Linked DNA regions of Saccharomyces cerevisiae S288C. The gene in region 4 interacts genetically with the main gene of each other region. Each region holds a gene or a part of one and is shown on either strand. Other genes may lie near its edges. The genes, in order: VMS1, RQC1, PDE1 and RQC2.

The links.
Region 1: of RQC2 (region 4) and VMS1, a mutation in one rescues a mutant of the other (synthetic rescue), as found in Saccharomyces cerevisiae (5 studies listed by BioGRID, with this or other methods).
Region 2: of RQC2 (region 4) and RQC1, changing one suppresses a phenotype caused by changing the other (phenotypic suppression), as found in Saccharomyces cerevisiae (3 studies listed by BioGRID).
Region 3: mutations in RQC2 (region 4) and PDE1 impair growth when combined (synthetic growth defect), as found in Saccharomyces cerevisiae (one study listed by BioGRID).

The regions. Positions count from the first base shown.
Region 1 is NC_001136.10:551,735-557,538, reverse strand, and holds VMS1 (Vms1p), read right to left. Parts: upstream 4,286-5,804; coding exon 2,387-4,285; downstream 1-2,386. Other genes in the region: acid phosphatase DET1, read left to right, coding at 1-483; triose-phosphate isomerase TPI1, read left to right, coding at 1,067-1,813; uroporphyrinogen decarboxylase HEM12, read right to left, coding at 4,591-5,679. UniProt on the Saccharomyces cerevisiae protein: Endonuclease that cleaves polypeptidyl-tRNAs downstream of the ribosome-associated quality control (RQC) pathway to release incompletely synthesized polypeptides for degradation.
Region 2 is NC_001136.10:1,131,252-1,137,195, forward strand, and holds RQC1 (Rqc1p), read right to left. Parts: upstream 4,181-5,944; coding exon 2,009-4,180; downstream 1-2,008. Other genes in the region: IRC3 (double-stranded DNA-dependent ATPase), read left to right, coding at 1-1,819; chromatin-remodeling protein SWR1, read left to right, coding at 4,681-5,944. UniProt on the Saccharomyces cerevisiae protein: Component of the ribosome quality control complex (RQC), a ribosome-associated complex that mediates ubiquitination and extraction of incompletely synthesized nascent chains for proteasomal degradation.
Region 3 is NC_001139.9:30,561-38,097, forward strand, and holds PDE1 (3',5'-cyclic-nucleotide phosphodiesterase PDE1), read left to right. Parts: upstream 1-5,092; coding exon 5,093-6,202; downstream 6,203-7,537. Other genes in the region: HFM1 (DNA helicase), read right to left, coding at 1-866, 1,019-1,076; RMR1 (Rmr1p), read left to right, coding at 1,350-2,075; ZIP2 (Zip2p), read left to right, coding at 2,538-4,652; BRR6 (Brr6p), read left to right, coding at 6,373-6,966; RAI1 (decapping nuclease), read right to left, coding at 7,057-7,537. UniProt on the Saccharomyces cerevisiae protein: Controls the level of cAMP in yeast cells, together with the high-affinity cAMP phosphodiesterase (PDE2).
Region 4 is NC_001148.4:532,320-542,028, forward strand, and holds RQC2 (Rqc2p), read right to left. Parts: upstream 6,618-9,709; coding exon 3,501-6,617; downstream 1-3,500. Other genes in the region: mRNA-binding protein RRP12, read left to right, coding at 1-1,090; TAF3 (Taf3p), read right to left, coding at 1,323-2,384; RET3 (coatomer subunit zeta), read left to right, coding at 2,699-3,268; CHL1 (DNA helicase), read left to right, coding at 7,066-9,651. UniProt on the Saccharomyces cerevisiae protein: Key component of the ribosome quality control complex (RQC), a ribosome-associated complex that mediates the extraction of incompletely synthesized nascent chains from stalled ribosomes as well as their ubiquitin-mediated proteasomal degradation.

The DNA.
Region 1 (5,804 bases), on a different chromosome or scaffold from region 4:
TACGAAAATAATGAAGATAATATTTGTGAAGGGAAGCCTGGAAAATGTTATCTGCAATATCGGGTTAAGGATGAGCCAAGAATAAGGGAACAAGATTTTGGTAATTTCCAAAAAATCAATAGCATGCAGGACGTTATGAAGAAGAGATCTACGTATGGTCATTTCTTCTTCAGATTCCCTCATGGAGAAAGTGCGGCAGATGTATATGACAGAGTCGCCAGTTTCCAAGAGACTTTATTCAGGCACTTCCATGATAGGCAAGAGAGAAGACCCAGAGATGTTGTTGTCCTAGTTACACATGGTATTTATTCCAGAGTATTCCTGATGAAATGGTTTAGATGGACATACGAAGAGTTTGAATCGTTTACCAATGTTCCTAACGGGAGCGTAATGGTGATGGAACTGGACGAATCCATCAATAGATACGTCCTGAGGACCGTGCTACCCAAATGGACTGATTGTGAGGGAGACCTAACTACATAGTGTTTAAAGATTACGGATATTTAACTTACTTAGAATAATGCCATTTTTTTGAGTTATAATAATCCTACGTTAGTGTGAGCGGGATTTAAACTGTGAGGACCTTAATACATTCAGACACTTCTGCGGTATCACCCTACTTATTCCCTTCGAGATTATATCTAGGAACCCATCAGGTTGGTGGAAGATTACCCGTTCTAAGACTTTTCAGCTTCCTCTATTGATGTTACACCTGGACACCCCTTTTCTGGCATCCAGTTTTTAATCTTCAGTGGCATGTGAGATTCTCCGAAATTAATTAAAGCAATCACACAATTCTCTCGGATACCACCTCGGTTGAAACTGACAGGTGGTTTGTTACGCATGCTAATGCAAAGGAGCCTATATACCTTTGGCTCGGCTGCTGTAACAGGGAATATAAAGGGCAGCATAATTTAGGAGTTTAGTGAACTTGCAACATTTACTATTTTCCCTTCTTACGTAAATATTTTTCTTTTTAATTCTAAATCAATCTTTTTCAATTTTTTGTTTGTATTCTTTTCTTGCTTAAATCTATAACTACAAAAAACACATACATAAACTAAAAATGGCTAGAACTTTCTTTGTCGGTGGTAACTTTAAATTAAACGGTTCCAAACAATCCATTAAGGAAATTGTTGAAAGATTGAACACTGCTTCTATCCCAGAAAATGTCGAAGTTGTTATCTGTCCTCCAGCTACCTACTTAGACTACTCTGTCTCTTTGGTTAAGAAGCCACAAGTCACTGTCGGTGCTCAAAACGCCTACTTGAAGGCTTCTGGTGCTTTCACCGGTGAAAACTCCGTTGACCAAATCAAGGATGTTGGTGCTAAGTGGGTTATTTTGGGTCACTCCGAAAGAAGATCTTACTTCCACGAAGATGACAAGTTCATTGCTGACAAGACCAAGTTCGCTTTAGGTCAAGGTGTCGGTGTCATCTTGTGTATCGGTGAAACTTTGGAAGAAAAGAAGGCCGGTAAGACTTTGGATGTTGTTGAAAGACAATTGAACGCTGTCTTGGAAGAAGTTAAGGACTGGACTAACGTCGTTGTCGCTTACGAACCAGTCTGGGCCATTGGTACCGGTTTGGCTGCTACTCCAGAAGATGCTCAAGATATTCACGCTTCCATCAGAAAGTTCTTGGCTTCCAAGTTGGGTGACAAGGCTGCCAGCGAATTGAGAATCTTATACGGTGGTTCCGCTAACGGTAGCAACGCCGTTACCTTCAAGGACAAGGCTGATGTCGATGGTTTCTTGGTCGGTGGTGCTTCTTTGAAGCCAGAATTTGTTGATATCATCAACTCTAGAAACTAAGATTAATATAATTATATAAAAATATTATCTTCTTTTCTTTATATCTAGTGTTATGTAAAATAAATTGATGACTACGGAAAGCTTTTTTATATTGTTTCTTTTTCATTCTGAGCCACTTAAATTTCGTGAATGTTCTTGTAAGGGACGGTAGATTTACAAGTGATACAACAAAAAGCAAGGCGCTTTTTCTAATAAAAAGAAGAAAAGCATTTAACAATTGAACACCTCTATATCAACGAAGAATATTACTTTGTCTCTAAATCCTTGTAAAATGTGTACGATCTCTATATGGGTTACTCATAAGTGTACCGAAGACTGCATTGAAAGTTTATGTTTTTTCACTGGAGGCGTCATTTTCGCGTTGAGAAGATGTTCTTATCCAAATTTCAACTGTTATATAGAAGAGCAAAAAATTGCCAAAAAAAACAACATTTATTCATTTGAAATATAAAATTTGGGCTTCTATATTTTAATATTGCTTTTCAATTACTGTTATTAAATGTAAGTACTGTGTCTATGAAAATATATGCAAATGCTAAGAAAAATCCTAAAAATTTGAATATGAGATATTCCTCAGTATTTCTTTTTCATCCTTTCTTCTGCGGCTCTAGCCCTTTGTTCTCTCATCAATCTGCGTCTCTGTTCATCGGTCAAAGAATTCAAATTTTGTTGCTGAATTGAAGGAATATTGGTTAACTTTTTGCCTGGACCCCTCTCTGCATCTTTAGCAAATCTTTGTTTTTCCTTGGCGGCTTCTAATTCCAATTTAATCAGTTTTTCTGCCTTTTCATTCTCTATTGCTTTTTTCTTTTCATTGATTTCATCAACTTGTTCTCTGCTCAATGGCTGACCGATATGAGTTTCGTCCCAATTAGTGAAAGACTCTCCAAGATTGTATCTTGCAATTTGAAACGCGTGTCTCACGTCGTCGTTTCTATTCAAATCCCACGCAGTCCTTCCTAGTCTGTTCTTGATCGTTGGATCGCATTTAATATTTGAGAGCAAAATCAGTGCCATCTGTTTCATCCCTTGCTGCGATGCATAATGTAACATGGTAGGGGTTAAGGAATATTTACTCTCAGGCTTTAACCGAAAGTTTCCATCAAGCTTATTCTTTTTTAAGAAGGATATCAATAACGGTGCCCTTCCTTTCTTCAGCAGAGAAATTATTTCTTCTGTTTGGATTTCTTCCAGTAACGGTTCTTGTTTTTCTTTAAATTCGTCCTTTTTGTTCGACACTTCTAACTTTTGTACTGTTTCTTTCACTGCCAATGGTTCAGGCTTAGGTAATATTTTCAGGTAGGAAAGTTCGCACCATGCCTTCTTCAATTCTAATACAGTGGGCCTGTTCGTGGTAAAAGGGAAGCTCTTTATCCTTTCATCACCCTTGTTCAGAACGGTATTATCAGTAAAAATTTTTTTATCACTGACATTGCGAGCTCGAATAAAAATATTATCACACTTTGACAGATAAGGTTCCCAGTCCTTCAACACACCCTGTATATCTGTTTTTAAAGCGCTTTCATTGTACCTACGAAGTGCTGAACCGGCAGAGTTAGCTTTTCCCTTTGCATTGTCCATTGCTGACTGAGAACCACCTTGCTTCCTTCTGGTAGTATACCTGTGAAACGTCTTGTGCTCTAAGAAATTGACCGCTTGCTCAATTAAGGTTTCGTCCTTCTTGTGCGCGTTCCCCTTGACATTGAGTCTTTGATGAGAAACAATTGCTCCCGCAAAATGTCCACCTCCCACCATAAACAGAGCTGAAATGGCCATTGGGTTCTCTTGCGAATTCCAAAAAGTCAAAGCTTCATTGGGGTTGGAAAGACTCCTTTTATTAAATAGAGACTTATAAATCGCCAAGACCTCATTCTTTTGAAGATACTTCGATTTGAAATAAATGTAGGGCGATTGGGTATTAATATGGCTAATAGCATCCGACTCGTCTTTTTGGAACCCTAATTTCTGCAAATCATTTTCGATTATAGTTTCCATATAATTATTAGTTTGTAGGTCCGGGTCCCGATCGCTGGCTTCCTCACTTTCTTCGTGATCGCTTGAAGTTTGCTCGCCGCCAGAATTTTCGTCTTCAGACTTGATACCATGCTCCTTAGAAATCAGCGCATCGAATTCCTCAACGGATAGGATATCCAGCCCCCTAAGGTTACGCTTAACATTCATCAAATGATAATCAGTCTGGTAGTGGGCCTTTTGTTCATTTCTGGAATCAAAGCTCATTTGACAAACACTACAACGCATAACATTTGATGTGACCTTCTTTCTTGCTATTTGGAGATCTCCAGACTCCTTGTTTCTATCATTATCAGATGTCTTCTCTACTTCAACTTCTCGCAGTGTGGAGTCAAAGCTCATCAATTTCAATGAATTCAGAAGTTGCTCAGACAAATCAAAAATATAAAGATCATTCTTTTTTAGTGAGCCAGTCATTTTACTCGCCTTTTGTGAATTCATGCTATTGGAAGCTTGTCAACAGGCGTGCAGATCTTTTGAAAATCCTTTTTCTTCGAAGGAAAGGTGATATGCATTCTCATTTATTTTCATATACCTTCATCTTTTATTTTCTTCTATTTAAGATTTTGTCACTACATCCATTCAGAGAACCTGCAAAAATAAATATCTGAAAAAAAAAAAAATCGTAATAAATATACAGAATATCGAAAAAAGAAAAAAGGCCACTTTTGAACGTTGTGAAAAAGATATTATTTACATAAACGTATATTATCACTTATAACACTATAAGAATCAATATTTCCACATTACTTCGAACCAATTCTGTGGCACTCCTCCAAGAAAAACTTGATGACGTCTGGATCCATGAAAGGGTGGGTACCGTGACCGAAATTAACAATGTAGCGGGACTTCCCACCTCCAAAAGCCTCAATCATCTGTTTAACTTTCTTTGTTATTACCTCTTTAGAACCATACATGACGCCAGGATCCAGGTTGCCCTGCAAGGTGACACGGTTCTTGTTTATTTTTACCGCTTCTCTTGGGTCCCAGGACCAGTCCAACGAAACAACGTCAAATCCTGAACAGCATAGCTTGTCCAAAGCATACCACGACCCTTTCGCAAAAACGATCATAGGAATCTGTTCCATGATACCTAATTCTTGCAATCTTTTAGGCACTCTTTCGGCAATTTGTCTTAAATATGGTAGGGAAAACTCATCAAAATCTACAGACGAAAGCTCACCACCCCAACTTTCAAAAACTTGTAGTATTTGAGCACCCGCCACGACTTGCTGACTCAGAAACTCCACGGCCACATCAGTGATTTTTTGTAATAATTTGTGAGAAAGCTCTGGATACATGTTAATCCATTGTTTGGCAAATCTGAAAAGACGGGATCCACCGCCTTCCGTCATATAAACCATTAGAGTCCAAGGTCCCCCGCAAAAGCCAAATAAGGGAACCTCACCATCCAACTTGATCCTTGTCATGGTGATTGCCTTGAAAGCCCAATCTAACTCTTTCAAAACATCAACCTTGTAGTCTAATACCGTTTGGAGGTCTTCCGGATTTCTTAAAGGTTCTGGGAAATGTGGACCTTTACCTTCGAGCATCTCGACCCTCATACCCATGGCTTGCGGAATAACTAAGATATCACTAAAAATAATAGCAGCATCAATGAGGCCTCTATAGCGTCTTACCGGCTGGATAGTAATCTCAGAAGCAATTTCCGCATCCCTGCAAGTTTGAAAGAAATCACGATTGTTTTTCACCTCGTGATATTCCGGCAGGTAACGACCTGCCTGGCGCATTATCCAGCATGGCGGTCTCTCGACTTTTTCACCCTTTGCGGCTCTCAATATCAAATCGTTTTTTGGAGCTGGAAAGTTACCCATAGCGTTATAACCTGTTCTTTGCTTTATTTTTTTTTTTTTTGTTCTTCCTTTTCTCGAAGAGAGCTTACCAAACACAATTCTGAGATAATGCTTGATGAATTGAAGAACCTATCGATCACTCTATG
Region 2 (5,944 bases), on a different chromosome or scaffold from region 4:
TCAAGGAAATTTTAAATCGTTGATCCTGGTTCACAGGAGGGAGCTGGCCTTACAAGCGACGGCCACTCTTAAAAAAATATTCCCCGACTTAAAGGTTCACATAGAAATGGGAAAATATGATTGCGATATTGAAGATTCTGACGTGATTGTTGCATCTGTTCAGACGTTGATTAGAAGACTCCATAAATATGATACTAATTCAGTGAATCTCATCATCATTGATGAAGCACATCATTCTGTGGCTAATTCTTATAGAAGTATCTTAGATCATTTCAAAGCTTCAACTGCAGAAACCAAAATCCCTGTTATTGGCTTTAGTGCGACTTTCGAAAGAGCAGATAAAAGAGCTTTGTCAATGGTAATGGATAAAATTGTGTACCACCGGGGAATACTGGAAATGATCGATGACAAGTGGCTATGTGAGGCAAAATTCACGTCAGTCAAAATTGAAGCAGACTTATCAGATGTAAAAAGCACTGCAGATGACTTCCAGCTGGCACCGTTATCGTCTCTAATGAATACGAAAGAAATTAATGAAGTAATTCTGAAAACTTACCTTCATAAAAAGCAAGAGAAATCACTAAAATCAACATTACTGTTTGGCGTTGATAAAGCCCATGTACAAAGTTTGCATAAATTATTTAAAGACAACGGTATTAATACGGACTATGTCACCTCGGATACAAAACAGATAGAACGAGATAATATAATTCAAAAATTCAAAAATGGGGAAACTGAAGTACTCATGAACTGTGGAATATTCACAGAAGGAACGGACATGCCAAATATTGATTGTATACTACTGTGTAGGCCCACAAAATCGCGTTCACTTTTGATTCAAATGATTGGAAGAGGTTTACGGTTACACCATTCGAAAGACCACTGTCATATCATCGACTTCATTGGAGCTTCTAGTGTTGGAGTGGTTTCAGCGCCCACTCTACTGGGTATAAGGAGTGATGATATCGAATTTGATGATGCTACAGTTGAAGATTTAAAAGCAATCCAAGGAGAGATAATAGCTAAACAACAAAAAATCGACGAAAGGTTAAGGGCTTTATTTCAGACTGATGAAGCAGCAATGGAAAATGTAACTGAAAGAAATAGCGTTGCCGATTGGATTCACAGTGCAAATTCGGTTGATTTAACCTTGTGCTCCTTTGATAGTTTTAGGAATTTTACACAGAGCAATAACTCATATCCATCTGGCAAGGAGTTTGATGAAGCTTCTGAAGCTGTAAAAGAAATGGAGCTGTTGATGAACTCACAATATCCGTGGGTGAAATTTGCCTCAAATGCGTGGGGCCTCCCTTTAAAAGGTAAGAATCATTTGAGAATATACAAAGAAAAATCCGAAGACAAATTGTCGATGGTATATCATCTAAAAATGTATCGACAATTACCGTGTTTTATAACAAATAAATACGCGGACTATGTTCCAAAAAGTATAATAAAAGACGCTAATCTTTGGAATGTAATGTCAAAGGTGGAAAAAATCATAAATACTCTAAATTCGGACTTGGAAGGACAAACAATGCAATACCAGGCAATATCTAGTAAATACTCGAAATGGAGACAAACAGTTCCTACGTCAAAACAAAGAGACTTTGTTTTCAGAAAGCTAAAGAAAGTATATGGTGAGTCCTCAAAAGATTTTATTAGATTATCTTTGGATGATGTTACTACTTATGTAAATACTAAGATGACGAAAGGAGATGCTTCCAACTTAATCTTTGCCAGCAGTTTGGCACCTGTCTACCCGTTGAAATCATTGTTACGAATATTAGAATATCAAAAAAGAAGATCTTTTATAAAGTGAAATCCGTAGCTACATAAATGTGCATATATTAATATACAGTCACTAGTACATATGTAAACGTCGGACCACTCGTATATGCATTTTCTTTTGGATCACACCCTTTCTGAACTATGCAATGAATAACGTTAAATTCAAATAAGTGCTTTAGCCTTACTCTGCGTACTAGAAAATGAGCTGCAACATTTCTTATTAACCCTCATTTTCATTTGACTCTTCATTTTCATGAATGTACTGTTGCAAAGATATTTGTCTAATTTGATTCAACAGGTCCTCATCTTGCATTCTTTCTGCCTGAAGGACAGCTAAATCCTTTTCATTAATAAAGGTTTTGATGTTTTCAACCACTTCGATTGATTCTTTTGACGTAGGCATTGGTGGTAATACGTCAAACTCATATACTTCATTATCAGACCAGATAAATGATGGAATTGCAGCCATTACAGAAGACTCCTCAGATAGTATGGCGAATCTTAATAAGTTAATTGGGATTCCCGCAATAAAGAAAGGTGATTGCAAGTTGTTAATGTTATTGTGATCTTGCCCATCATTTGAATCGATTGTAACGTTTCCTCTATGGTAATCCTGTAAAATACTCGACATTTCATCATGCAAAAATGTTACCTCTTCGTTTCTATTCCAAAGTAACGGGAAGCGGGCCATATATGCCTTTAATTCCAAGTTTTCTGCCGAATGGCCATCAATGGATAAATCTTTAGTTAGCGCATGATCGCCCAAGAGTTTCTCCTTGAAAAGTTCTGACAGTTGTAAAGGATGATGCTTAAAGGCTTTTAGAAGCGCATTGCGGGCGGAACTCATCTCATTTATTCTTAGGAAGCTTAGTACTACCGCCAAGGAAAATCCTAAAGTATTCCACTGTTTATAACAGTTCATTAATGGAGAGTTGGATAATTCTATAATGTACTGATAGTCATTATTCAATAGAAAATAGTGATCGAGGAAATACCTGCATCCTAAAGGATCTTCCAATGGGCTCAGTGACCAGAGAACTTTTGTCCATTCACTAGCAGTTCCTATAACACCTCTTTGAGCAAGAGATTGGATGTATCTAAATATTGCCAAGTAAAACTGTCTGTTGAAGAAGTATATATAAGGTAGTTGACAATTCAAGGAATCGAAAATAATATTTGCTTTCAAAGCTCTATCAAAGACAAAGAGTGCTCTTTGTAACAATCCATTAGTGTTTGATCTATCACCTTGCCTAATAAATATCAAAGCAACTTGTAGCAGTCCAGGCACATGATACGGAAATTTAGAAGAAATCAAATTTATAAGGGCTTCATGATCAGGGTGAACAATAACACTTAAGTAGAAGTCCATCATTGATTTCTTGCTCAGGTCGGAATTTAAAGGTTCGAACTTATAAAAAGAAATGAATTTTTGCCACTGACTGACATCGTTTTGGATAACATCCTTCCAATCTAACGGCCTTTCCCATAATTGCCAATCTAAAAGATCATCAGAACTTAAAAGTTTCATAGAGAGCTCACCTCTTTGAGTTGGGATCCAATCATCTCTGATCTTGGTAAACTTCAAATGTTGCGGGTGCATTCCGGGGCCATTAGGTGCCAATCTATGATCTTTTCCGCCCCAGTTTCTAATTAATCTTTTCAGTCTCTGAATCTGTTTCAGCTGCTGAGGGGAGACAGGTGTGGATGTCATCGAATCAATATCTTCAAGAGACTCTGGAGATATATCGTCAAATAAAAGTTTGAATTCCGTATGGGGGTCCAATTTCTTGAAATCATTTTGAAAAAATTTGCAAGAATGCCTCAAACATGAAATGGGGAACTTTGTGAAGCCCGGATCACTTTCTAAGCTTAAAAATGACTTCCAAGGTTGGCTAGATGCTTCCTCTGGTTCAGATGCCGTGAAGAAACCTTCCTCATTAGTGTCATCATTTTTAGTCTTACCGTACTTCAATATATCAGTTTTTTTGAACTGTTGGATAATCTTGTCGAATTCTTCATCATCATCATCATCATCGGAACCCTTGTCTTTTGCAGCCTCGGCGGTATGGTTTTTTTGCTTCCTTTTTGCCTTTTTATTCTTTTTCCTTCTAGAAGACTTGGATGCTAGTGTAATTCTTTTAGGTTGACCATTACTTTGAGTATCACGCTCCCCAGCAGCAGCAGCTTCTTCATCCTGCTCAGACATTTGTCCTTCATCAGTGCTATTATCTGAATCACGTACGTTATTCATCATAGAGAAGATGTTCTCCCGTTTCTGAATATTACCGGCAGTACTTTTACCACTCGTCATTTTATTCGCATTTGAATTCGATAGCAGCGACTCTAGCAGAGCATTATCATCTTGTAATCTCCTTAATGCTCTAGAGCTCATGTTCGAGTACTTTACAAATATATTTAGATGATTCAACGACCTGTATGTTAACCTTCAACTGGTGGACTGTATGTACTACCTATGGACATTTTTCACTATACGTTGATGCAGTAGTGAACATATTGCTCGCATAATGTTACCCGTTTATACCTCTATACGATTATTAAGGGAGGGTAATACTTTCTCAATTTTTTTTTTTTCAGTTTTTAATATTATTTCCTTAAGATTTTTCGGTGGCGTTTCGCGACAACTTACGAGAAAAAAAAAAAAGAGGAGACTTGAAGAAAGAGTGCAAAGGGATAGCGGGATTCTAAAGTGTTTACGTGCAAAAAGGATAGATTTTGAGCTTTAAACTAGATAAGACCCAAAGCATTCGATTACTGCATTTGAGAGGTATTCAACAATACCATTTTAACTCTTAGAAAATATTTCCTTAAGCTGAAAATTTATGAATTCTAACTGCTCTTTGCATTTTCCAAGTTATTGCATTACAAGAATATATGACCACATCTCGTAAATCGCATGCGAAAGACAAAAAGGCTGGTGGTGAACAGGATCTGGCGGATTTGAAGTTTAGGTATGATCTTCTGACGAATGAACTGTTCCATTTAAGAGAGTTTGTTTCATTGGTAGATTATGATCCAACCCATTTTAATGATTCTGAAAGTTTTCAGAAGTTTCTCAGGGAAACACACTTGTCGTTAGAGGAGAGAGGAGAAAAATTCACTGATGACGTAGCCAAGAAAGGCACGAATGGTGATCTTACTCGCAGAAGGCGAAACCTCAGGACATCGACAGTTGTTAGTTCAGAAACGACTAATGAGAAAAAGGGTGATATAGAACTGAAGTTAGAAAGCATAGCACCATTAGTACGAAATAAATGTGAGGAGCTAAAATACAAACTAAGTGATCATTCAAATAGGAAATCTATAGTACCGCAAAAAAGACCAATACAACATTTGAAGAAGAGAGAAGCAGCGAAGTCCTTGAAGTTCAAAAGTGAAAGAAAGGAAAATCCACTGCCATTGCATGAACATATAGCTGAAGAGAGATATGATCACATCGCAAAAGTTGAAGAACCCTCTGAAGCCTTCACTATAAAGTGTCCTTCTGATGATAGCTCCTTTGAAAATACTAGTGAACATTATAGTGATAATTTTTATTTCACCACATCATCCGAAGAGGAAGATATAAAGAAAAAAAGAGGTAGAAAGAAAAAGAAGCCTAGAATAAAACTGGTAGTCCATCCTCCAAAGCAAACCATAACGAACCCGTTGCATGTAGTCAAGCCGGGATACGAAAGCTTGCACGAATACATCGCTTCCTTTAAGTCATTAGAAGACGATTTAACGCTGGAAGAATATAATAAATACATCGACGAACAAAGACGGCTTTTATCGAGACTCAAAAAAGGTATTGAAAATGGCGCATTGAAGTATGACAAAGAAACGGACTCACTACAACCTATAACATCCAAGGAAATCAAGACTATCATAACATATAAACCAGACCCGATTTCATATTTCTATAAACAACAAGATCTGCAAATCCATACCGATCACTTAATTAACCAAGGTATTCATATGAGTAAGCTGTTTAGAAGTTCAACAAAGGCAAGAATAGCAAGAGCCAAAAAGGTTTCTCAAATGATAGAACAACATTTTAAACACGTAGCCGGAGCAGAAGAAAGAAAGGCAAAGGAGGAGGAGAGGCACAAAAAGTCGCTAGCCAGGTTCGCAGTTCAAGCTGTTAAAAAAAGATGGA
Region 3 (7,537 bases), on a different chromosome or scaffold from region 4:
TTCTATATTTGGAACTGTTGCACTTAAAGCAACAAACCGAATGTTTTGACACATTGTATTCATCCTTGTCAGAATTACTTCCAAAGATGCTCCTCTTTTCTCCTTTATGGTATGAATCTCATCAACTAGGACAAGTTTGACCAATTCGAATAATCGGCTGTAATCGGACCATCTTCTTGTTAACAAATCCCATTTTTCTGGTGTCGTAATTATTATGTTACATTTTTTAGCCTTTTCAGTTTCCAGAAAAGAGGTATCACTAGTAAGCATACCAACAGAAAGATTCACAAAGGAAGGAAACCAGTTCTTGTACATCTCGTAACATAGAGATTTGGTTGGCGCGATGTATATAATTTTGGTGTTATTGGTATCACTATTTGTTTCCTTTATAAGACGTAATATTGCCAATTCAAATAATACAGTCTTGCCTGATCCGGTTGGTGAAGAAATTATGCAGTTCTCGTTACTCTCATAAATACTAGGAAAAGCCTCTGATTGCATTTTATTAAATTCTGTAAATTTAAAAACCCCTCTGAATGAATCTGGTAATATGGTCGTGCTCAAACATTTCTTCGCTGATTTCCTTATCGTGACCTTCTTAGGTTTCTTCGCCTCTTCATCAGGTGTCTGCTCTAAATCGTGATCAAATAATTTACTAGTTACTTGTGTATCATCTGCTGTTATTGAAAAATTATCGTCTTTGTCGAAGAATTGCAGACCACGGCCCTCAAATATTTCCTCTGTTTCATTTTCATCATCACAATCATCCAGTAAACTGTTATAAGACAAACCTACTTTAAAACTTGGTTGGCGGCTATTTTTCTTATTTCTTTTAAATGTAGCAGACTGGTCGTTAAAGTCAATATCTATAAGTCCTCTGAAATTCTAGTCCAGAAAAACCACTTTTGGTTGCATTTCCGCTAGATAATAAAAGAAAGAGGTAACAATGTTAGTCAAAATACTGTTGTTGTCCGATATGGTGTAAACTGATAAGGGTGTTGCTAAGCTTCGTTACTACTATTTGGAGAGGGTCTACTTCTTTTTCCTGTACCGAGGCGATCAAACTTTGTTTTCATCCTTACGACGCCTCTTAAGTTGTCAAATCCACCTTGAGGTATCAATCATTTTCAATGAAAGGATTTCTTGATAGATGATACTAATAGTCCCGTTTTGTTTATAATCCGGGGCAAAGTCTAAATACCCGCCGAGCCTGCATCCATTCGTGGTACATGATATGTTAAAACTACAACAAGGCATAAAAAAGGGAAGTATATATGATTAATTATATATACGTAAAGGAAAAGATACGTAGTTAAAGATTGTTTTTGTTGGTATCAATGGAATCAAAGATGAGTGAAGAAGAAGCGCATAAAACAGTGGAGGTGGATGACGTCGGGGTTCAATTGGATGAGGGCGATGAAGAAGACCTTTTGGAGTATGATGATGAACTCGTGGAGGAACAACCATCGGACGCCCGTATACGCAACGTGGCAGAGACTTTAATGAAAAGCGAATTGCCCAAAGTCACCGTGGAATATAAAGATACTACATTTCTGTTGTTCACGTCGGATGATAAGAACGAAAGTAACAACCCCATAATATGTGAAAACGCTGCTCTTTATCAGCGACCCATGGGGGAATTCATGGAATCCATTCGTAAATTTATGGGAAATCGTTTTGGCAGGTTGGCTTTTGCTACGAAGGAGTTGGTTTTACAACTGAAAAGCCTCGATTTGACCTTGTTCGAAGATAATGTCTACAACAACCATATTTCATTCAGCGATGTTTATACTATATTTAAAATCCTGAAGGAAAGATCGGAGTCTAATTTTGAAACTGATATACCGACGCACTTGGCTATTGAATTAAGTACAAGGCCAAGATTTGTCTCTCGGTACAACGCCTTGGTTGAATTAACTGAAAGCTCAGCTACGTTGAAAAACATAAAGCCATTTTCTAACGATGAAACGCATCCCTTAATTGTGGATGACAATGACCAATATACACACCAGAATACTTCAGAAGTCATTGTAATGGACATAGATGATGACGTAGGTGAGGATTCTGAAGACTAAAGTAGCCATGTTTAATCAGCACTGATCGTGGGAAATCCTGATGTCCAACGGTGAGTTTCTGATTTCCCAGTCACGGATTCCTTTTGAGAATCTTCTCCCGCGAATAAATTATTGGCTCTGTGTAATATTTAAGGTCGCCTTCTTTTTCGTTTGTATAGTCAGCAGTTAAGTATTCATTAATTTTGGATGATGCAAAGGTCCATATTCGATTTCTGATAGCCCTTCCCCCTTTTTTGTAGCGAATTGTATTATTGTTTTGTATTGTTTTTTCGTCATTTTCTTCAATTTTTTTCAAGTTTTACTTTCGGAAGAATTGCTGAAAGTATTTTCTGTTAGGATATGTAAAATACAAGCATAAAATATGTTTCAGGAGAAGAAAATCACTCAATAGTGCCACACCATTGTTAACGAGCTCGAGTAATTGAATCAATTTAGAGAAATAGATCATATTACAAAAATACTATGATTATTGAACGTTGGGAAGTAAAGTTATCTAAATGTAACCAAAATGTGGGCGGCTATTCTGTTCTGTCAGGAAACTTAAAAGAAAACATCAAACTGGGAAGACGAGCACAAAAATATTTGAAAGAGCTAAGAAATTTGCAACTTAAACCACTGAAAATCGGAGGGTATGAAAACTGCGGCACGATCAATGGTGAAGAGTATTTTTTGGAGGTAATTCACATCACCTCTGGAAGACAAAAAATAGATGTAGCCGTTGGCAAAACATGGAATGTGACTAACATTGAGAATGACAACAAAGAAGAACTACAGTATGAGTTATTCAAGGAAAAGTTAAAAGTCGGGAAACAGGACATGTTATTTTTTAGCTGGATGAAAAGTCTTTCAGTTCAATTAAATGCTCCTCTTCACCAAAAAATGACGGAACACGGTTTGGCAGACGATAACACGAGGTTAGAGTGGTTCAACATCCCACTTCTCAGAAGAAGTCAATACAGGAAAAAGGTACCATATCCGAGTTTAAGACAAATGTCCTCTGTACTGGAAGTGCAATGCAGCACACTAACGGAGGAAAAGTTGAACTTCTGCGTTGGATTTTCTGATAAACCTTTGTCAGAATGGAAGCCCCAAATTTTTGAGCAAACCTACAATAGATACCGTTTACAACGGATCTCACCTGAGAAATCTTTCAAATATAAGAGTAGGTGCAGTAAGTACAATTTCAAGACCAGTTCGCAAAGCTGGGTTGTGAAAGTCCCAGAACATGATCAACAGCTTAATACGTTTGAAAAACGTTATGATGAACTCTTTGATGCTCAATTTAATAAACTAGAATTTTTTAAAATAAGAATGAAAAAATTGAAAAAGAATAAGCCAATTGAGAAAAAGAACTATAAAATATGGTGTCTAGAAAAAGAAGACCTAAAGGATTTGGTATGGGATCCTCTGAAAAGAATTTGCAATCATTCTAGGTATGCAATATTTGAGCATGTTACCATAAATAGGGAGGCCTATTCGATCAAACCATTAAGGTTAACTTTTCAAAAATTAGATTCCGGCTCCCTTGACCTGATCGATAATCAAAAAAAGACGTTTGGTAGTATAAAGCTTGCAATGAGTATGCCAGATGTAAAAAAAACTGAAAATCAGTCAATTGAAGAAAGTGAAAGACACGATGAAACTGCTATTGAAACCCAAGAATTTGATGAAAATGATTGTCTTTCATCTAAGGCGGATATTAATACATCATTAGCTCCTCAAAAGAGATCTTTCATCGATAATGAACTAATGTCCATGTTAGTCACCAAAAAAAAAATAAAGAAGGACAAGGATGTTAGTGACACCGGTATATCTTCCACTTCATACTTGATAAATTCTGGGACATATGCAAATTCTCATATTGAAATTCCTACCTCTAATTCAGTTTACAATGGAAAGGAAGATTGCTCATTTAATAACTACTCAGTAAAGCATTCAATATTGGAAGAAGATATTGAGAATAAATGCATAGCCGTAAATGAAAACAAGGTGATTGAGAACCAAAAGGTAATTCAGTCATTATGTAAAAATTCCCATCTAGACCTTATCGAACAATCTTACTTTGGCGAATGCGATTTCATTATAAACCATTCAACATGTGTATATAAAATTCAGGCGAGCCGATTTATGCAACTCAGAAATAACGGCTCATTGCATTACGATAAAGCGGTAAACGATCTTTTAACTGAATTTCAGAGAGTCATTATAATTGTGGAGTTTTCTGAAATAATACAAGACGTTGATCCTGATCTTTTCTGGAAAATCAAACTTTATTTATTGAATTCACGTGTTGATGTTTTTTTCATTCATGAGACTACTGACTTTTTTATTGATTGGATGAAATATTTCATTGCAAGATGGGCCTTTTCATATAACGATGAGAAAGAAAAAAATATTGCAAATGCCGATATTCTTCTAGATTTGGGATTTAACATCCTCTTAGTACGGAAAATTTTCCAGACATATAGTCTCGAAGAATTTTTTATGGCAATAATAAAGGAAGAAAGCAAAGCTGTTAAAATGCTTACGGTTTCACAAATGACTCGCCTGAAGAAGTTATTAACCTTAGAATGGTAAATCCAGCAAGGATCGTTACCCGGTAAACTATTTATACTACGCCTGCCTCTTTCGTTCTTCGACTACATGCTACAGTTAGTAAATTCAACCAAGGAAAATGTATTTATTAACATGAACTAGCCACCTAATTAACCCTTACCTTATTTTTTATACCCTTGGATCATCGGAGTATCTGTAGATCATATGTTAACGTATGTATAATATTACATCTGTCACAATAAACAACCCGAAAAAAATACCGCACGGAAAATGAGTTACTGATTAAGATGCACTTTTTGGTGAGGGTGCGTGACTTGAAACTAAAAATTACCAATAGTCAAACCCTTTCCATTTTCGAGGGAAGCAATATCTGAAATTTATATTTTTAGAAATTTCCAAGAGAAAGTGGCTTTTAACGAGGTTCTTCTTCTTCATCCCCTTTTTTACCAATATTCCTTTTTATGGTTGTATTCGAAATAACTATACTTGGGGCCAATGGAGGACCCACCGAATACGGAACACAGTGTTTTATACTTAAGCCTGCTAGAACAGAGGATCCAGAATTAATAGCTGTAGACGGTGGTGCAGGAATGTACCAGCTACGGGAGATGTTGGTCCAAGGGCGAAATGAAAATGAAGGTGATGATGAGCTTGTTCCAAGCTTTTATGAACATGATCGAGAGCCAATAGAGTTTTTTATTGATTCCAAACTGAACATACAAAAGGGATTATCCAAGTCCTTGCTACAATCATTAAAGAGGCAGGGAGAGCATTTTGAAAGCGCCAATACAATGAAGAAAACTTACGAGGTTTTCCAAGGAATTACCGACTACTACATTACCCATCCCCATCTGGACCATATTAGTGGGCTGGTAGTAAACTCCCCCTCAATATATGAGCAGGAAAACAGTAAAAAGAAAACTATTTGGGGATTACCGCATACTATTGACGTTTTGCAAAAGCATGTCTTTAATGACTTAATATGGCCAGATTTAACGGCAGAACGTTCAAGAAAATTGAAGCTAAAATGCTTGAATCCGAAGGAAGTTCAAAAGTGCACTATCTTTCCTTGGGATGTAATACCGTTCAAAGTTCATCATGGGATAGGCGTCAAGACTGGCGCGCCGGTATACAGCACCTTCTATATCTTCAGAGACAGGAAAAGCAAAGACTGTATAATAGTTTGCGGAGATGTTGAGCAGGACCGCAGAGAATCTGAAGAATCTCTACTTGAAGAATTTTGGTCTTACGTTGCTGAAAATATACCGCTTGTGCATCTCAAGGGTATATTAGTCGAATGTTCATGCCCATTATCTTCCAAGCCCGAGCAATTGTATGGTCATCTATCTCCAATATATTTAATCAACGAATTATCCAATTTGAACACTTTATACAACAGTAGTAAGGGATTAAGCGGTTTGAATGTTATCGTTACTCACGTTAAGTCAACACCTGCTAAAAGAGACCCAAGACTAACCATACTCGAAGAGTTACGATTTTTAGCTGAGGAGAGGAACTTAGGAGACTTGAGAATATCTATTGCGCTAGAAGGCCACACTTTGTTTCTATAATGTACACAACGTCAATAACATAATACTACGTAGATGAAAAGCGGAAAAATTCATTACCCGGGAGCAAGCAAAATACTAGTAGTAACTAATGAAACTTCTTTCCATTATTATTGATGAGTTAACTTATGTAGACTCATCTTTGAATCCCCTATCCCAACATAAGTCCCGGAATGGAACTCCGTAGTTTTTCTAGACAGCCTGATGGCATACTTGCTAACCCAAGATTGGGAAGGGAGGAAGTATTGGAAGGTGAACATCCGCAAGATGCTAGATTAGCCCGACAAAGCATTTGGTTGAGCCCAAGTTTAATTGCGGAGTATATACAGCTTTTTTTCAATTTTATTATAGGAACTATAGGACTGTCTCTTGCTATTAAATTCATTTTGATGATAAGAAACGATGTTAACTTAAAACTGGAGCATAACGTGAGGGAAGAATTAGATAAAATTGCAACTTGCAAATCAAGGTATTTTGAAAACCAGTGCGAACCTCATATGAGGGTTCCAGCATTGGAGGTACGTTGCAATGAATGGTCAAAATGTATGAACAAGGAAATAGTGTCTGGCTCCGATTACCAATGGGCTAAAGCATGGGCTCGTACTCTGGCGGAGGTAATAAATGCTTTTTTTGAAGCGTTCAGTATACGATCTTTCCTTTTCATTTTAATTAGCATAATAGGTATAATATTTGTTACCAATACGAGTTTCGGATCATACAGGGTTTATCTCAATAATAAAGATACAAAATCGGTTCGCCATGCATAGTGTATATAACTTAATCTAATCTGCACATTTATATTATTTAGATCCATACGTCGATGAGGATATGCGCAGGAAAGACATAAAGGAATATTGTTATTTCAAAGATTTTCTCCACTCCTTAAACCCGTTCGATAATATATGTTCTCCATCAATCAAACCTGAATATTCCTCATCACTTTCTTCAATTTCGGATAATCTTAGGTGATTATTTTCGAAAACCAACTTAAATGCTCTTATTTGAGAATGAGGATCCTCATCTCTTGGTATCATTTTCAAAAGCCACTCAGTAAGGAGACCATACCATTTAATGGCTTCTAAACATGCACTTCCAACTTGTGGATTATTGTTCTTTAATAAAACAGGTACTTCCTCCGTTGAAAACTCTTCCACAGTTTTTAATACATAATGGTCGTCTTTAAAACCATATATGATCCTTGGGATCCCAACTAAGAAGCATTGCAGCCAGGTCCGGAACAGTTTACGCTCAAACTTATGCGTATCCGATATGTTCGCAACTTGCTGCGTACATTTCAATTCGGCATAATGTTTTAAATTGTCTCTACCGTTTTCTTTA
Region 4 (9,709 bases):
CCAAATACCAGGTTATGATCCTACCACTCCAGATCAATCGTCGTCAATATCAGAGTTTTTTAAGATCATTTCTGCCGGTCTTATTGGTGAATCTCAACATATGGTTAGTAGTTCAATTACGGGTTATGCTTGTTTAGTTTTTGAATTCAAAAATGAACTCGATTCCGGTATACTAATGGATATATATGACACCATTGAATTGTACTTAACTTCTAACTCTAGGGAAATTGTAAAAAGCGCCATTGGGTTTACCAAGGTTTGTGTTTTGGGGCTTCCAGAAGAACTGATGAGGCCAAAGGTGCCAGAGTTACTTCTAAAGTTATTAAGATGGTCTCACGAACACACTGGTCATTTCAAAGCCAAAGTCAAGCATATTATTGAAAGATTAATAAGGAGATTTGGATATGACTACATTGAAGCCAACTTCCCTGAAGAAGATAGGAGATTATTAACAAATATAAGAAAGATGCGCAATAGGAATAAGCGTAAAGATGAAGAAGTTACTACTGGAGTTAGTGATGTAGCTGCCACAAAGGGTTCAAGATTTATGTCTGCATTCGATGAAGCTGTTTATGGGTCTGATGAAGAAAATGATAATGGATCAGATCAGGAGGAAAATGTTGCTGGTGGCAAAATGAAGAATGGGGCAAAGCAATTTATTGTAGAATCCGGTGACAACCCACTAGATTTGTTAGATTCTCAAACACTAGCTCATATATCATCTACCAGACCAAAGAAATTCAATAAGAATCAAAATAGAGCAAGGTTTAATGATGATGCGTTTAACTTTGACTCAGAAGGAAAACTCGTTGTCAAGGGGCAACCTAAACCCTCTACTAATGTAGACGATCCATTGAGTGCTGTGACAAGCGGAATCAATGCGTATCTAGAGGCTGTGAAAAGTGGTCCTGTAAGAGGTCAAAGAAACAAGCTGAAATTCAGGAAAAATGGAAAGGACTCTGATGAATTTGGCGATGATGATGATGGTGAAAAGGATAGTAGGCTAATGAGAGGAAGAGTAAATCAAGGTAACAAGATTGGCAAACATAATAAGAAAGGTCCAAAGTTCAAATCTAGAAAAAAATTATAGAAGATTGAAACTGAGCAATATGGCTAATTACACACCTGGAGAAAAAATCAGATATGTATATATAAGAATATTATAATACTGTATATTAAAAATGATTAAAATAAAGAAAAAAATGAATCGGGCGTTTAATTGCTTATTATCTTGAAGAAGCGAAAGTACACTATATAGTAATAATGTGAGGTTAATTAAATATGGATGAGATAATGACGAAAGAAAATGCAGAAATGTCGTTTTAAAAGTAACCCCCATAATCTAGTGAGGTTCGACGTTGAAATGTGCTGTCCATATCTTCCTGCTCTGCCCATTTAGTATCAACATTTGAGTCGAATTGAAACATTGATATGTCACGGTCATCACCATGAGGAGACTCTGTTAAACTTTTATTGTTCTCTTTAAAACTTTCCTCATTGTTATTTTCTTGAGACTTTTGGTTAGGGCCTTCCACTTCGCCAAGTGATTCAAGCTCCTCATCCTCAAATGAAAGAGTTATATTTTCTAACCTATTTTCTTTTCTCATTATCGGCAGTTTGCTAGTTACAAATGGATTTTCTTGGATCTCTGTTAAGGCATCCTCATCTCTTGGGGTCATCGCCGAAGGCATCCTATCTTCGTTTGTTATGGTAGTGTGGTGATGGCGGCTTAGAATGGAAGATTTATAGCCTGCAATATGTGGTAAAGCCGGTACATTTTGAGATTCTTTTTTGGAAGCTCTTTCAATCATGTTTATACGTTGTCTAGCAATGACTAATTTGATCCAATCATCTAATCCATTATTATTTATTAGATCTTCTATCAACTCTGTTTTTCTATTCTTTGTTTCTAATTTCTGTTTCGCACCCTTGTTTTGCAGTAATTGATTGAGATAGTCAGGTATTGCTGACAAAGGATCAGATTCTTTTTCCTCACTTTGTAGTAATTCTACTGTGGGTAAGGCAGTTATTCGCGCGTCGGTCAATTGAGTACTATAAATACACCAGTCCTTGAACTTTTCCATTCCTCGTGAACTTGATAATTCGGAGTTTTCATCATAGACATCCAGAACGTTCGTAGGCTTAACAATACCTAGATTTTCCAGAGCCAGAGTTATATCTTGTAAAGCAATTGTATCGTCCTGATCACATCTTGCCTGAGCGATAGAACTGACCTCTGATGCTAACAAACTCAAGAATTTTGCATAGAGATCGGTCATGACATCCACCAGACTGGGCCTTGCCCTGTCAAATCCTTGTGCCTTCAATAATTGGAGAATAGATATGCGTAGTAGAGCAAAATAGAAGTCATTATTTGTAGTCATAGCAGAGGAACTCTATTGACCCAAAGATATCGCTGTTTTCCGCTAGTAGGTGATTTGGAATTGCTCAGGAAGCTACTTCAAGTGTTATATTAGCATACCTTCATCATGCAATATGAAATTACTGAAAAAAAAAACTAAAGCATCGCGAGCTTACCCGTTTCGCCACTTCTGTCAAGTGAAAAAACACGTTTGCATTGTTTAGGCTACAAGGTGTGGAATATCGAAGTTATTGCTAGACAGAAGTTCTTTAGGCATTTAGGTTTTGTTTGTGAGCTGGCTTGCTAATTTTGAGTACTGTGCATCATTGTTCCAGGATGTCTTCTTTATCGCTATATACTGTTCAGGCTGTTTTAATACTAGATCAGCAAGGAGAACGAATTTATGCAAAGTATTATCAACCTCCTCATAGATCTGATGAAGGACACCAATTGCTCTTCAATTCGGTGAAGAAGCAAAAAGAGTTTGAGAAACAACTATACCGTAAGACTCACAAGCAAGATTCGGAGATTTTAATCTTCGAGGATCATTTAGTCCTTTACAAAGAATACATTGATATCACGATATATTTAGTTGCTTCGCTGGAAGAGAATGAAATTGTTCTTCAGCAAGGATTTTCAGCAATCAGAGGAGCTTTGGATTTGATTTTGAACTCAGGAATGGACAAAAAAAACATCCAAGAAAACTATGATATGGTTTTATTAGCTATTGATGAAACCATTGATAATGGTGTTATCCTCGAAACTGACTCTAACACTATTGCATCCAGAGTTTCTAAACCACCTACGAACGAACCCCAAATGGCATTAGATTTGGATAAGGGTTTCTTAGGCGCGTGGGGTTTCGCAAAGAGCAAGTTTCAAGAAAGGTTACAGCAAGGCTTATGATCACAAGGCAAAGCGGATAGAAGAAAATTTTAGCTGGTCTTATATGGTATATATGCAGTGTCTTACTTTCTCCCTTCCATATATATGTATCTACTTATATATATAAGTATATGTTGCTCATTTAGAAATGATTGTCACCTCATGCTAATCATTTTATTCTTCTCGTTGGTCTGTGATGAAAAATAATGAAAAAATTATAATTGCTGTCTATTTTCTTTTCATCTCATATGATTTAGCGTTTTTTTTTGCCCTTCTTCGAAGAGTTACCACCGTTCTTGGTGGATTTCTGCCCAGCGATTGTTACTTTTAACTTGTCGACACAGAGCAGAAGAACCAAGTCCTGTTCCTTCAAGCCTTTAATCATTTCATGTTCTTGGGGCCAATCCATTTCGTTGTCAGTTGAAGAACCGTCTAGTGGTCTACTCTTGAAATAATGTAAAATTTCAGTTAAAGTCTTAGTTTTCTTCGCACTTCCCGGTTGTATTTTGACTTTGTATTTATATTTCAAAAGCGCAGGCCAGGGGGCAAATACTGGTATAATATCATCAACCACATCGCCCTTATCGAGAGATGGTTTTAATTCGGACTTGTGTTTATCATAGTTCACTCTTGCTTTCTCTTTTTTGGTGAATTTTAAAGCCTGTAGTCTTCTTTGTTTCTCGCGTTTATTCTTTCTATCTTCTCTAACTTCTCGCTTCATTATTTCTTCTTTCTTCCTTTGTTGCTGCTTTTCGATACCCTTCAAAGTACCCAAGGCCTCCAAACGCAAGAGACGTTCAGTTTCATCCTGGTCGGCGTATTTCTTTTGAATTTTCTTCAATTTTCCTCTTTTACCACGGACGTTACTGTTTATGTTTTCGATTAAAGATATCGGAACACCTGGTTCATCAAGGATACGCTGCGTACTGCTATTGTCATTTTTGGCTTTAGCATTTCCAGAATCAGAGTCGGTATCGGATGATATGGTGCAATGCTTTTCGATGTCTTTTTCAAGATTATCGTGTTCAAAACTGTTGTTTTTCGTGCTATCGTTTGAATCTCCACCCTTCTCTAACCCATTGACCTCGTTACTATCGTCTTCATCTTGCTGTTGCTCTTCTTCTTTTTCTTCTTCTTCTTTTTCTTCTTCTTCTTCTTCTTCTTCTTCTTCTTCTTCTTCTTCTTCTTCCTCTTCTTCTTCTTCTTCTTCTTCGTCATCATCACCATTATCCTCATTTCCACTGGTTTTCACTTTCCATAAAAATCCAAAACCCATCACAAGTTGAGCAGGGGGTAAATGGTTTTGATCATTCTCATTTTTCAACCGAAAGGCACCTTCTGGCAGAATGGAGTTATCAGAGCCATCGAATTTACTAACATTCTTTGCAAAGCACCACCATGGAGAAGAAGATATCTTCTTCGACCAAGCCTCGCTTGAGGACATGCATAGTATACCCGCTTGCATCAAAGTGTTCGGTGGAACTTCTGTTTTTTCTGGATTTTTGATCCATACATGAGAGTTAAAACTATTGGACATATAAATATCATCATCTTCAATATATTTTGAATAGATTTGATCTGTCTCAGCCGGACTTTTACCCATCATGACCAAAAATCCTTCACTTGAAATAAACCAACTATATTTTTCAAAAAAGTAAGGAGTGCGGATCTTTTTTAAGACACTGTGAGAATCTTTTAGCTTTTTTTTCAATTGTTGATCAATTTTGACTTCAATATTCTTCATAGCCTTGCCGACATTCTTTTCGACTTTTTTCTGCTTTTGAGCACTTGTTTTTTTGATATTGAAATATTCAGTGGCATTGGCATAAGCTGATAAACCAAGGTCAATTGTAACGTTTATCTTTTCATTAGATTTTCTTTTCATACTTTTTGTACTCCTCTCCTTCGAACTCTCCATGTCTTCTGAGTCTGAGTCACTAGAACTATCAGTAGTATTGCCTTCTGATTCATTGTCCTCGTCTGAAGAAGTGTTGAGTTCCTTGCTAGAGAGATCAAGCTTGACGCTAATTTTGTTCTGTTTCAAGTTCAAAGGCAAGTTCAAAAGCTGAGCAATTCTGTTGCCTTTTTTTTGTTCACTTTTAATTAGTTTCTCAATAGTGTTCCAGTCCATTTGTTGATCGATTAGACCCTGAACAGCAAGCTTAACTTCCTCTATTAAGGGTGCATTTTCAATTATGAGATGGCCTTTCCTTTCATTTAGTTCTTGGACGTCTAATAAAGCTTGTATTTTTCTATCATTTTCGGCACGAGCATCATCGATTTTCTTTTGCGCTTGCGATTCCTGATTTTGTATACGTAGAGCATACTTAGAGGATTCTATTGTTGAGAAAAATTTGTCTAGCGTCCTATTGTAAGGACCTTCAACTTCAATGATACAAGAAGAGTCAGTGTCTCCCCCATTTATATATGGCTTAAAGGGATGGAATGTATCATAAATAAATTCCAAATCGGCAGTATCTTTTTCAGAGATATAATTTTCATTTCTTTTGGCCAAAATGTAACCCTTTCTATCGGTGGTAGTTAAAAGTTGATTATATTCTAACTGAGTACTGTTTAGCAATTCGGCGAGTGAGTCTGTTTCCTCCAAAAGATTTAAACAAGACTCTGAAGGGTCGATATTGAATACCTTAAGGTTCTTTGATAATAAATCTGAAGACAAATGAGGGACTTTCGAAAGCAGCAGTTTATGGATGGAAGGTACTTTCACTTTTTTTTTTTTAGCGCCCTCCTTCCCTTGAATGTTAAGTTGCTTAATAACAGTAATGTCTGATTCATACTTGGCTTGAACTGCTTTTATCCACTCGTTGACTAGTTCAGAGGTGTATTCTGCCTTTCTGTTTTTTTCTATGGATTCATCAGCAGACTCGTTATTTGTGGTAAAAAGTGATTCGTCAAACATTTCATAAATTTGTCCGACCTTATTTTCATGCTCTAGAACGACTCTTTGCAAAGCCATAATTCTTCTGTTCTCATCTAGAAGAATGACATTCCCTGCACTGAAAAATTCCAAAACTAAATAGAAGTGGCCATCAGCAAATTGTAGAACAAGAATTCTATCCTGGTCTACTTGCTTTAAAGCTGTTAACCGTTTAGCTTTAAGATGCTTCCTTAGTTTGACAACAAAGCCGGAAGGAGTTGGAGGTATTGGCCTACTAAATTCAGTTAAGTAAATTCTTAAGCCACAATCGACAACAACATTGAGTTTAGAATCTGGTTTATTAAATTTCAGCAAAAATTGTTTTGAGGAATCGGCAATGTTATATATATTACTCAATCGGTAGCCTTCCAAATCCTGTTTCAGCTCTCTAGCCAACAGCAGTAAATCTAGGGCACTAATTCTTTGCTTCATCGCTATTAATCTCTTGCCTGCCTGACTTCTTAGACCGGATAATAAGTAGCAACTTTCTTTTCAATTTGCCATCGGATTCTTTTAAAACTATTTTTCAGGCGAAATTTCATTTTTCTATCCTTCCGCAGCATGAATGAAAAGTTCAAACGCGTCCAAATATACAATAGATATAGTGCATTAGTTAATGTCCGGAAGAGAAGTCGCAATTGTTGAAAAGGTTAAAACTCAGGCTATTTATTGAAAATCCAATTTTAATCGTAACCACAGAGTTGAGGTAGAGGCTCATTTGTTACCTGACAGTTGATGACATTATCACTGACATATTTAAATTCATCATTAGTGTAATCAGCACATGCTAAGTTGAGGGCACTACTGCAACTTCAGTTTGTTTCCTTAAAACCCAAAAGAGTAGAAAACCAGGCTAAAAACAGTCACACTAGTCCAAAAAATGGACAAAAAGGAATATTCGGAGACTTTCTATCATCCTTATAAGCCCTATGATATTCAGGTACAGTTAATGGAAACTGTATACAGAGTGCTATCCGAAGGGAAGAAAATAGCTATCCTGGAAAGCCCCACTGGGACAGGCAAGACGCTGTCCTTAATCTGTGCCACGATGACTTGGTTGAGAATGAATAAAGCAGATATTTTCACCCGCATGGAAACTAACATCAAAACGAATGAAGATGATAGTGAAAACCTAAGCGATGACGAGCCAGACTGGGTTATTGACACTTATCGAAAGTCTGTTTTACAAGAAAAGGTGGATTTGCTAAATGATTATGAGAAGCATTTAAACGAAATTAACACGACCAGTTGTAAGCAGTTGAAAACTATGTGTGATTTAGATAAAGAACATGGAAGATATAAATCAGTTGATCCATTAAGAAAGAAACGCAAAGGCGCTAGGCACCTTGATGTATCACTTGAAGAACAAGATTTTATTCCGCGCCCGTACGAATCAGATTCTGAAAACAATGATACCTCCAAAAGCACAAGAGGAGGAAGAATATCTGATAAAGATTACAAATTGAGTGAACTAAATTCACAAATAATAACACTTTTAGACAAAATTGATGGGAAGGTTTCGAGAGATCCAAACAATGGCGATCGCTTTGACGTTACAAATCAAAATCCAGTGAAAATATATTATGCATCCAGAACTTATTCACAATTAGGTCAATTTACTTCTCAGTTAAGATTACCCTCGTTCCCATCATCCTTTAGGGATAAGGTCCCAGATGAAAAGGTGAAGTACTTACCACTTGCTTCGAAAAAGCAGCTTTGTATTAATCCAAAAGTGATGAAGTGGAAAACATTGGAAGCTATTAATGACGCATGTGCGGACCTTAGACATAGTAAAGAGGGATGTATCTTTTATCAAAATACAAACGAATGGCGTCATTGTCCTGATACGTTAGCTCTCAGAGATATGATTTTTTCAGAAATTCAAGATATTGAAGATTTAGTTCCCCTGGGAAAATCTTTGGGAATTTGTCCCTATTACGCCTCGAGGGAGGCACTTCCTATTGCGGAGGTAGTGACTTTGCCATATCAATACTTACTTTCTGAGTCCACCCGTTCAAGTCTTCAAATAAACCTTGAAAATTCTATAGTAATTATTGATGAGGCTCATAATTTGATAGAAACAATAAATTCTATATATTCCTCTCAGATCTCGTTGGAGGACTTAAAGAATTGCCATAAGGGGATAGTAACTTATTTCAACAAATTTAAGTCCAGGCTCAATCCCGGTAACAGAGTAAATCTATTAAAGCTCAATTCACTTTTGATGACTCTGATTCAATTTATAGTTAAAAATTTCAAGAAGATAGGACAAGAAATAGATCCTAACGATATGTTCACAGGAAGTAACATCGATACCCTAAACATTCATAAACTATTGAGATATATAAAAGTCTCCAAAATTGCTTACAAAATTGACACGTATAACCAGGCACTAAAAGAGGAAGAATCGTCAAAAAATGAAAATCCAATAAAAGAAACGCATAAAAAATCAGTTTCTTCTCAGCCATTACTTTTCAAGGTTTCTCAATTCCTATATTGTTTGACAAATTTGACGTCAGAAGGACAATTTTTTTTTGAGAAAAATTATTCAATAAAGTACATGCTTCTAGAACCAAGTAAACCTTTTGAGTCAATACTAAATCAAGCAAAATGTGTAGTCCTTGCAGGTGGGACAATGGAACCCATGTCAGAGTTTTTGTCGAATTTGCTACCTGAAGTTCCTTCTGAAGACATTACGACCTTGTCGTGCAATCATGTTATACCGAAAGAGAATTTGCAAACTTATATCACAAACCAGCCTGAGCTTGAGTTCACATTCGAAAAAAGAATGTCTCCCTCCCTTGTAAATAATCATCTTTTTCAATTTTTTGTTGATCTGAGCAAAGCAGTTCCTAAAAAGGGTGGTATTGTAGCTTTTTTTCCAAGCTATCAGTATTTGGCGCATGTAATTCAGTGCTGGAAACAGAATGACAGGTTTGCTACATTAAATAACGTGAGGAAAATATTCTATGAAGCAAAAGACGGCGATGATATTCTATCTGGATATTCTGATTCGGTAGCAGAGGGAAGGGGGTCTCTTTTGCTGGCTATTGTTGGGGGAAAATTATCAGAGGGAATAAATTTTCAAGATGATTTATGTAGGGCTGTGGTGATGGTGGGCCTGCCGTTCCCAAATATTTTTAGTGGAGAACTAATAGTTAAAAGGAAGCATTTGGCCGCTAAAATAATGAAGTCAGGCGGAACGGAAGAGGAAGCTTCACGAGCAACAAAGGAGTTTATGGAGAATATTTGTATGAAAGCTGTCAACCAAAGTGTTGGACGTGCTATACGGCATGCAAATGATTACGCAAACATTTACTTGCTCGATGTGCGATATAATAGGCCCAATTTCCGGAAAAAATTGTCACGTTGGGTGCAAGATTCTATCAATTCCGAACATACAACACATCAGGTCATTTCTTCAACACGGAAGTTTTTTTCAATGCGCAGCCTGAATTCACGCTAAAAGGAATACGTTTACGTGTATACTGTGATTACTACTATATATTATAGTAAACTAAACT